Nothobranchius furzeri: one gene and its partner. The protein of the gene in region 2 interacts with the protein of the main gene of each other region in a biochemical or structural test. Links are inferred from orthologs where the notes say so. Each region holds a gene or a part of one and is shown on either strand. Other genes may lie near its edges. The genes, in order: fibulin-1 and nid1a.

Evidence for each region.
Region 1: the proteins of nid1a (region 2) and fibulin-1 form a complex in vitro, tested with the Homo sapiens proteins (3 studies listed by BioGRID). The link is inferred for Nothobranchius furzeri from reciprocal best matches to the Homo sapiens genes NID1 and FBLN1.

Annotation. Positions count from the first base shown.
Region 1 is NC_091741.1:53,756,714-53,761,077, reverse strand, and holds the start of fibulin-1, read left to right. Parts: upstream 1-1,481; 5' UTR 1,482-1,708; coding exon 1,709-1,763; intron 1,764-1,921; coding exon 1,922-2,018; intron 2,019-4,364. Other genes in the region: trim24 (transcription intermediary factor 1-alpha), read left to right, coding at 1-57, 142-651. UniProt on the Homo sapiens protein: Incorporated into fibronectin-containing matrix fibers. May play a role in cell adhesion and migration along protein fibers within the extracellular matrix (ECM).
Region 2 is NC_091752.1:2,240,180-2,244,693, forward strand, and holds the start of nid1a (nidogen-1), read right to left. Parts: upstream 3,037-4,514; 5' UTR 2,941-3,036; coding exon 2,665-2,940; intron 1-2,664. UniProt on the Homo sapiens protein: Sulfated glycoprotein widely distributed in basement membranes and tightly associated with laminin. Also binds to collagen IV and perlecan. It probably has a role in cell-extracellular matrix interactions.

The DNA of each region.
Region 1 (4,364 bases), on a different chromosome or scaffold from region 2:
GAGGGGTTTGTGGCTGATGTCAGGCTTATATTTTTCAACTGTGCTAAGTACTACAAGGTAGGTGCTTCTGTACTTTTTGCAAAAAGCTACAAATTATTTTTTATTTATAATCTGTTTTCTAAACCATCCTAATGCCCCCAGGCGACTTCTGAGGTTGGAAGTGCAGGATTGTACCTGGAGGAATACTTTGAGGAGCAGCTGAAGCTCATCTACCCAGACAGGGTGTTCCCCGGAGGGAGAGAGGAGCAGATGATCCCCCCTTTGGAGGAGGAAATTGAAGAAGAGGAGGAACAGACGGCAGAGGAAAGCACGGCTCACATTGAATGCAACAAACTTCAAAATCCTGCAGAAAAGGGGACTAAAGTGGACCCAGGCCCAACAGACGACAAGGAGCCGGACACAGACAAGACCGAGACGGGATCAAAGGAGACGAGTGAAGTTGTGGGTAGCCTAGAGGAAAGACGTTTTCCTTCTGAGGAGGAAAAGCAAAAAGAGAACACAAAGATGGAGCAGGCGGAACACCGGCCCTCTGCTGAGAATGACGCCGAAGATGGAAACGCTTCCAGCTCTTTAAAACAGGAGAGTCCTGAGCTCCTGACAGACAAAACCGCAGCTCCTCCTGACTGTCAGGATAAGTCAGCCCCTGAATAAATGAAGAAACTGAAGAAAAGATGGCCGATCAAAGTCTTCCGCAGACTTGGGTTTGCACGTAGATCGTGTCAGAATGAGACAGACTGTAGATGCACAACTAAAGGAGTAAATAACCTCCGTGTGATGACTGAAGCGCACAAACGTACCGCGTTCGTCTCGTTTAAGTTGCAAATGCTCCTCCTAACCTCATAGATCATAGGCTGAGTCTTCTTCAGGAGCTGCGGTGCATGAAACACGTCTCCGGAGATTTTAACACACCAAGTAGCCGTTATGTTGGGAAATCAGTTGTTTTTAATAGTATTTTCTTTGTATTTATAGTGTTAAATAGGACCATAAGTGCTGTAAATAATGATCAAATCAGAGGAGAAATGAGCTGCTTGGTTATTTGTCTCAACTTTGTGCTGCCAGTTGAAACTTTCCTGTCCCTCCTCCCCCCCAGTAATCACAACGAAGCCTTGTTTTCACCGCAGTACCAACAATCCTTGATTTACTCGCTATCAGTCTGAGATAAAGCAGAGACGTCATAATCGGCTCCCGTTGTACTGCTTGTGTCCTAAATGACTGCATCCTGATTAGATGCTGTTGGGAATTACACATGTTATAAAACAGCGTTACACCGCGGGTTTACGCACCACTTTACCCGACTTTACTGTATTTATAATAAACAGGGTTACACGTCACGTACGACTGTGTTGTCGGGGGTTACCAGCTGACTTTGATTGTTGCTGTGGGGAATTTCAAATAGTCGCAGGATGAAATTATAAAATAAAAAAGCCACAGAATAAGGCGACACTCTGAGCTGATAAATGTGTTTTATTTAATCTTCTAGGTCATTTTACTTATACTTCAACACTGCTGTGATTTTAAATAAATGCTCTTATCAGATTTGTTTTAATCATTAGAGCTCCCACCCCTAGCCTGACCGCCCTCCCCGGACCTCCCCGACGGACACGTCTGTGTCTCCTTCTCAAAATTTTCCACCGAGATGTTCTGTTTTCACTCCAGCCAGCATCAGAGAAGATCACCAACGTCTGGATCGTTCTCCTAAATCAGCCGGATGGCTCTCTGGGGTTTTGTTTTATTTTCTCTCTGCGGACTTCTGAACGGGCTTGGTAAGTGAGGACGTTGGACCTGCAAAGTTGTGTTCCACGAGGCTTTATTTGGGAATTGATTTCATTGATTTGATTGGTAGTTAAACTGCAGGCTGTATCTTATTTTGATTTAAAACACAAGCTCTGCTTCTTAACCCAATCTGTGATTATCGCACCAGAGAGCTCTGTTCAGGAGTGCTGTGAGGTTGGAAGGGCAATCGCACAGAGGGATCAAGACTGTTCCTTCCTTCCTCGTGTCACCTCACTCATCTGCAGGTGAGCAACGTCTCAACTTAATCTAAAGTTTTAGTTGTGCTGCGCTTAATCTAAATCTCAAAGTGCTCAGAGGTTTAAAAACAAGCCAGAATTAAATGTTGTGTCTGAAGTGAACCAAAGTTTGTCGTTTCACACAAACACAAGAAGAGATAGATCGATGAACTTTATTGTCCACCTCGAATTGAGGCAGAAATTCGCCTTTGACATGGCTCACCTTACAATACAATCCATATCGCGTTCACACAAATACATAAAAAGACATTTAAAAGGTATTAGAATGTTATCGTAGAAAAATAAAACTTTAAGAATTCTAAATTGTAATTGCGGTGGGAACAAACGATGTCTTATAGACACCTTTCTTGTCCAGTGGAACCCTGAACCTCCTTCCTGACGGAAGTAACTGAAAATGTGGGTTCAATGGAGGGGTTGAGTCTGCACTGATCAGGGTAGCCGTCCCGTGCGCTGCTCGCTCGTGAAGAACAGAAAGATGCAGCAAACCTCTCTGAGTAGAGGGTGGGATGTGTGGTTCCTGAGGGCAGGAATTCCTCAGGAATTCACACTTCTGAACTTCTCTATAAGGGAGGAGCAACTCAGTAGATGTAGGTGTTCAGACCCCCCCCCCCCCTAACCCCCCCCCCCCCCCCCCAAGGGGTTTAAACTGACAAAAACTTTTTTGTGGATCCTTTCCTTCGTTCCTAAACCATTCTCATTTCATCTATCTGTTATCTTTAGCGCTGACTCCTCATAGTATCGCAGGGAGCCGGTGTCTGTCTGCAGCAGTCATTTGGCATGGGGGTGGAGGCACCATGATCATGTCTCCAGTTCATCTCAGACACACACACACACACACACACACACCCTATAGGGACAATATAGAACAGGAGTTTCCAAACTTTTCAAGATAAGAGCCAACATCGTACAGCTTATATTTCTTTGCTTTATTTGTTTTTAAATACACAATGTAGTTTATTGTGATTTATTTATTTGCACTCCTCTAAAATGACGTCATATTAGTAAAACTCAGAATGAAAAAACATCAAAAAGTGTTGCTGTAGGTCAGGTGTGTCCAAACGGTGGTCTGAGGGCCATTTACAGTCTTCAGAGCGATTTTGTGTGGCCCCCAATTACATTTATGAATTTTGTCTCCATAGCAGACTGTTGATGGAGAGAGGCACTTTCTAACATCCTCAGATTTATACTAATGCAGGTAAAACTGGAAAAATTAGAATATGGGGCAAAAGTTTTTTTATTTCAACTTTGACTGAGAGACCATCTAAAGCAGGGGTGCCCAGTCCTGGTCTTGGACCGGTATACAGCATGTTTTAGTTTAACCCTGTTTCAGCTCACCTAATTTCAATCAGCAGGAGATTAACTTCTACAGAGCTTGATGAGCTGCTGCATGGATGATTCAACCACCGAATCAAGCGTGTTGGAGCAGAGAATCCACTAAAACATGCTGGATACCGGCCCTCCAGGACCAGGATTGGGCACCGCGGCTCTAAATGCTCAGGAACACTTTGCAGGTGTTCTGGATTCATTAGCTGATTAATGTGACATGTTGAGCCTAGAACATTGAGCCATAGGGTATTACAACCCCCCAAGGCACTTTACAGCACAACCATTCATCCATTCACACACTGGTTGTGTGTGTGCCACAGCTGCTCTGGGGCACACTGACAGAAGCGTGGCTGTCGAACACCGGTGCCATCGGTCCCTCTGACCACCACCAGCAGGCAGAGTGGGTCAAGTGTCTTGCCCAAGGTCACAACTGCGACAGACTGAGCGGGACTCGATCACACCACCTTCCGGTTATGAGACAGGCACTTAACTACTCTGCCACTGCCGTCCCCATTTAGCTGCACTGTTGTCTCTGAAAACTGAAACTTTTTAGCAGCTCTTCTCTGCTTTTATAGTAGCACGGTCTGTCCATGTTTGTTTGTTTGTGTTCCTTCCAGATCAAATAGAACACATATGTCAGACACATGGTCCGCAGGCCGCATCTGGCCTGCGGAGCATTTTAATGTGGCCCGCGAGATAAATATCAAAAATACATTAAAACTGACCCGCTGGCCGATTTTACCGCAAAGACTTCACTCCCATGATGCTTTGCGGTGTCAGCGCGGAGCCGACGCGCCCCCTCCTTTGTGTTTTTTCCAGCGTCTGCTGCCAGTGTCTGCAGCTCCGCTGTCTCGGACAAACTAAACACTCCTCTCACTCAGCGCCGAGTTCACTCAGCTGTTTTCTGACATTGAAGCCCAGAAACGGAGATTCTAGCCGCTCAGTAATGTGTTCACGACTGAAAGAGAAACTTTTCCAACTAACGTCCAGACAGAGCTGATATAACTC
Region 2 (4,514 bases):
TGGTCCATGATAGTACATCTACTAAATTGTTTATTTCAGAGACTTTTGAACACGAACAGATGTGTTCCCCCTCCACCTCTTAATGCAATCAGCACCTCTAAACTCACGCTTCTGATGTTTGCCGTCCACCAATAAAACACTTGCTGCATGTCTTTGTACTCCTTCAGCCACGGGTGAATAAACATTCATATGTATTTCATACTTTTCCCGAGATGTGTTCTTCAATCTGTTCCGTGTCTGCCGCTAATTATCTTTTTATTTTTTGACAGGGCGAAGGCACACAAGCTCACGTCTCCGTCACTTATAGTTAAAAATTGGGGCATGTCTCCATCACCCTCTGCGAGCCCGTCGGAGAGCTCTTGCACCAACGCACAATGGCGTTGTGTGTCTCTGTTCCAACGCAGATGGAGAAGTATAAATTAGGCTTCAGTCATGGTGGAAGGAAGGTTACATTCAAACAGATTTCATTCTCAGCTGAGTGGTTCTTGATTTTTCTCCTTTCAACAAAACAAAAGAGGGACGTAGATCCTGTTTACAGTCCGTGAGCCTGTGAGGTTGCTAAGTCTGTGCCGATCTAGACATATTACCGTAATACGTTTAGTAAGCGCTCCCTACCATAAAATACCCAAGAGTGCTAACACCAGATAGAACAATGTATTTCTCTACTTTGCACCTTACAGTATATGAGTTTTCGCTTCTCATCTAGAATCTTTTACTGCTGATCCGTAACTGGCCATAGCCAAGGAACTGTAGCGAGAAAGCAACTCCAGCTCAGTGGCCTAGTGGTATGAGTGTCTGTGCAGGGACTATTGGGGTTCAAATCCCAGTCGGGTCATACAAAAGACTTTAAATCAATCATCTAACCAGGGGCGGTGTTACGCCGGCTACTTGGGCTGAAGCCCTGGATGTTTTATGAAAAGCCCCGGATCTAAATCGCGGAAGTAACATGCAGTACCAAAGTCCAACAGAGAGGGAGCAGCTGGCAGTAGTTTGTATACAGCCTGCCTGAGCCTCCACCACTGAAGAAGAAGCCCTTCAGCAGCCGGCTTCTTCTACACTCTCTGTCTGAAACGCATGAGTGAAGATGGACATAAGGACGTTTTTAGACCAAAAGTACGGCGACAGAACCCCAGCTTTGATGAGACTGGTGCTGACTCAGGTTTGTGAGTCTAATTTGAAAATATTTGTTGTGCTGCTGGTTTGCCTAAAGTTAGCTTATCAGGTAAAGATGTTGGAGAAAGAACGAGAATATTTACTATCATCTCACACTAAACACTAACAGGAACAATACTCTGCCCTGAAAATGCTTCATATGTAGCTTCAGATTAAAAATTATGTGGTACAAGACATATATATATGATGTTGACTAGTGCGTGTCACGTGTGTGTGTGTGCGCGCTTGTGTGCGCGTGTGTGTGTTAAGCCCCGGATCTTCTTCAGTCCTAAATCCGCCCCTGCGTCTAATCCCTCCTCGCTTGATGGACAGCTTTAAGGGGTTAATCCACCAAATAGTTCCCATGCATGGGCGTGTCTGCAGCTCACTGCACCCCCACAGGGATGGGTCAAACATGGAGGACAGATTTCACCACACACCAGTGTGTGTGACAACTGATGGGAGTTCAATATTTAACTATTGGCTTAGAAAAATGGCCTGCAGTCCCCAAATTTGACCACAGGACATCATTCTTTTTTCATTCTTACATATTGCCCCTTTAACATGTTTTATGTTTTGGTAAATGTGGGACAGATCTTTATGTTGGTCAGAGCCTTTGGTCTTGAAATTCTCCCACAGTTGCCATTTTGCCCCTGGACTGTAGTGCTGGTGAGGTGGTTCTGGGTTCTTTTGTTCTTGGTTTGCTTTAGAACAGGGCACAATGATGTGTTGCTTTTTGAGATCTTTTAACCTTCTACATACTGCCAGACAGGTTGGACTTCTTTTTTTAAGGTCTGGTAGTTAGATGTGGGCGTGGCATCTTTCCAAATAATGTAATTAATTACAGTAAAATCATGATTTAAAAAGAGAGGCAAGACCAGGCTGGGGTTTGGACACTTCCCCAAATAAAATCATCACTTAATAGCTGCATGTTTAATTTACCAGGTTCATCTTTGACTGATATTTCACATTTGTTTGTTGATCTGAAATATTTAAGTCGATGAAAAAAAGGGAAAAGCCATGTAATAAGCTCAAAAATAGAGAAATCTAATAAATGTTTAAAATTAACATAAAAGTTCGAATTAAACAAATAGCTGATGCGCATTGTCCACATGCTGCACAATTAAAACAAAGATGTAGGGAAACTGGAAACACATGGAATGAAGGACCTGTTTGTTCTGCATAACGGTTCATTTCCTTTTACAAGCAACTAATGGTGAAGACCTCCGATGAGATGAAGGCCAGAACTTCTGCGTCCTTGGAAAAACATTAAACATCAGGATTGTTTTGTATTTTGACAACACAAACAATCCACTAAATCAGCACATCAGCAGAGACTATACAACAGACTAGACTTATATTGTTTATCTTTTTCTTTCTTATCCCGCTCCGTTTGCTTTGTGCGCAATTACGCAAAAAAAAAAATAACCAAAAAGGAGCCCAGACGCACCAGAAAATCCCGCGCGTTTTATACGGTTTTTTATTTATACGGCAGCAAATTAAATGACTTACATAAAGGCTGTCGAACGAGCCATCATAGAAGAGCACTGGCTTGCTGAGAGTTAGTCGGAATGTCTGGTCATCCCCGGACTCCAGTAACTGGTCTCCAGCGCTTGGGCCGAAGGGAAAAAACTCCTCCCGCCGTATGCTCCGCACCGAGGCCCAAAAAACCACTAAACTCGCAGAGAAGAGCCATCCTTGGTTCTGCCAGCCCATGTTGCTCTCCTTCTGGATGAACGGGGTTAAGAGGGAGTGAGAGGAACTGCTCATGGAGAGGGTCTTATGCATGGGCGGGGAGATCCTCTCTGTAAGACTTTCCTAAAGCATTTCATCTGGATTTTGGTTTCACGCTGGGGGACGTCTGGGCTAAAAATCTTCGCTTTAGTACGTGGCCGAAGATCTCATTTAAACCTGAAAATTCACTTATTAAAATTTAGGACTAAAATGACCATCCAGTGTTTCGCAACACCGCCCTCTCCTGGGAGAGGCTGGGTCGCTGAGGGGACATACTGGAGCCGTGACAGCAGCTTTGGAGAAGAGCCAAGACCACCAGAGCATCATGGACCAGAAACATTCTGTAAAAGACGCATTAATTACTCTGCAGCTATCAAACTCAACCCCAGCTGGGATAACGAGGGCCAGGCAGTTTCTGACCCAGTAGGGGATGATCAGTCATCCATCCAACACTTGGGTCTCGGGCCACAATGTCAGGACAGAGGAAACCAATGGGTCCAAAAACAAAATCCATACTCTGGCTTCTCCTTGCTTAGATCAACATCCAGGTTCTTTCTAATTTAGTGTTAAAGATTTCCATGCACCTTATTTCACCTCCGTGTTCCATAAATGTTATTGTGCTATCCAAGGGAACAGATGTTAAAACATAACTTTTGTTCTTTATTTAATTTTCATCCAAAACTTTATGTCTAAACGTTTTCTTCTTATTGCAGTAGATCAGGTGCCTGCAGCTCTGGAGCCACATGTGGCTCTTTGGCCCCTCTGAAGTGGCTCCTTGTAAGTTTGAAGAAAAATAATGACATTTTGCTAAGCCCACCCCCGTCCCATAGAGCTCCATGCAAACTGAACTGAGGGTCAGTCAGCACCAGCCAGTAGCTTTACCGCTTATGCACATACGTCAATCACAGAGCATGCTCGAGCGTTGGATGTACCTCGGTTGGTGCAGAGATGGTGATTTTCTCATGGACAAGTAAGTCTTAAATATGAATACACAACATGACATGAGCATAATATTTGTAAAACAAAGTGTTTTAGCTCTGTTTTGTTGGCTAGAGGAGCACATTCATGAGCAAGAGATGTTGCTAAATACAGAAATGAAAACTAGGTGATGTTGTGATACGGTTATCAGCCATCAGATAAAATAAATAACACAGACAGCCACTTTAAAAAGGGCAAATGTAGACTGTCTTTCCTTAAGTTATTATAGTTTTTTTGGCATTCAACACCCTCACATTAAGCTATTTCAGTAGTTTGATTTTTGATATTTTCAGACCCTTCCAGAATGAGTCGTTTCAGGGATGCTGGCTACGCTCACCCATCCCCCGCTCAGGCTTCTTTAAAGTAAATAAATACATTTTATTTATATAGCACTTATCACAGACTCACTCACTCACTCACTCACTCACTCACTCACTCACTCAGCCTTTATCTATAAAGCACCTTACAGGCATGAGCATGCCACCAAGATGCTGTACAACCAAGCCCCCACAATTCGGGTGAAAAATTGAGTCCAACGCGGAAGTGACAAAAAATTGCAGTTCCACCCTCATCCACTAGGGGCTGGTGTCAGAAGCGAGCAAATCCTCATTGACTCCCATGTTAAAAATACCAATTTCACAGCAGAAATA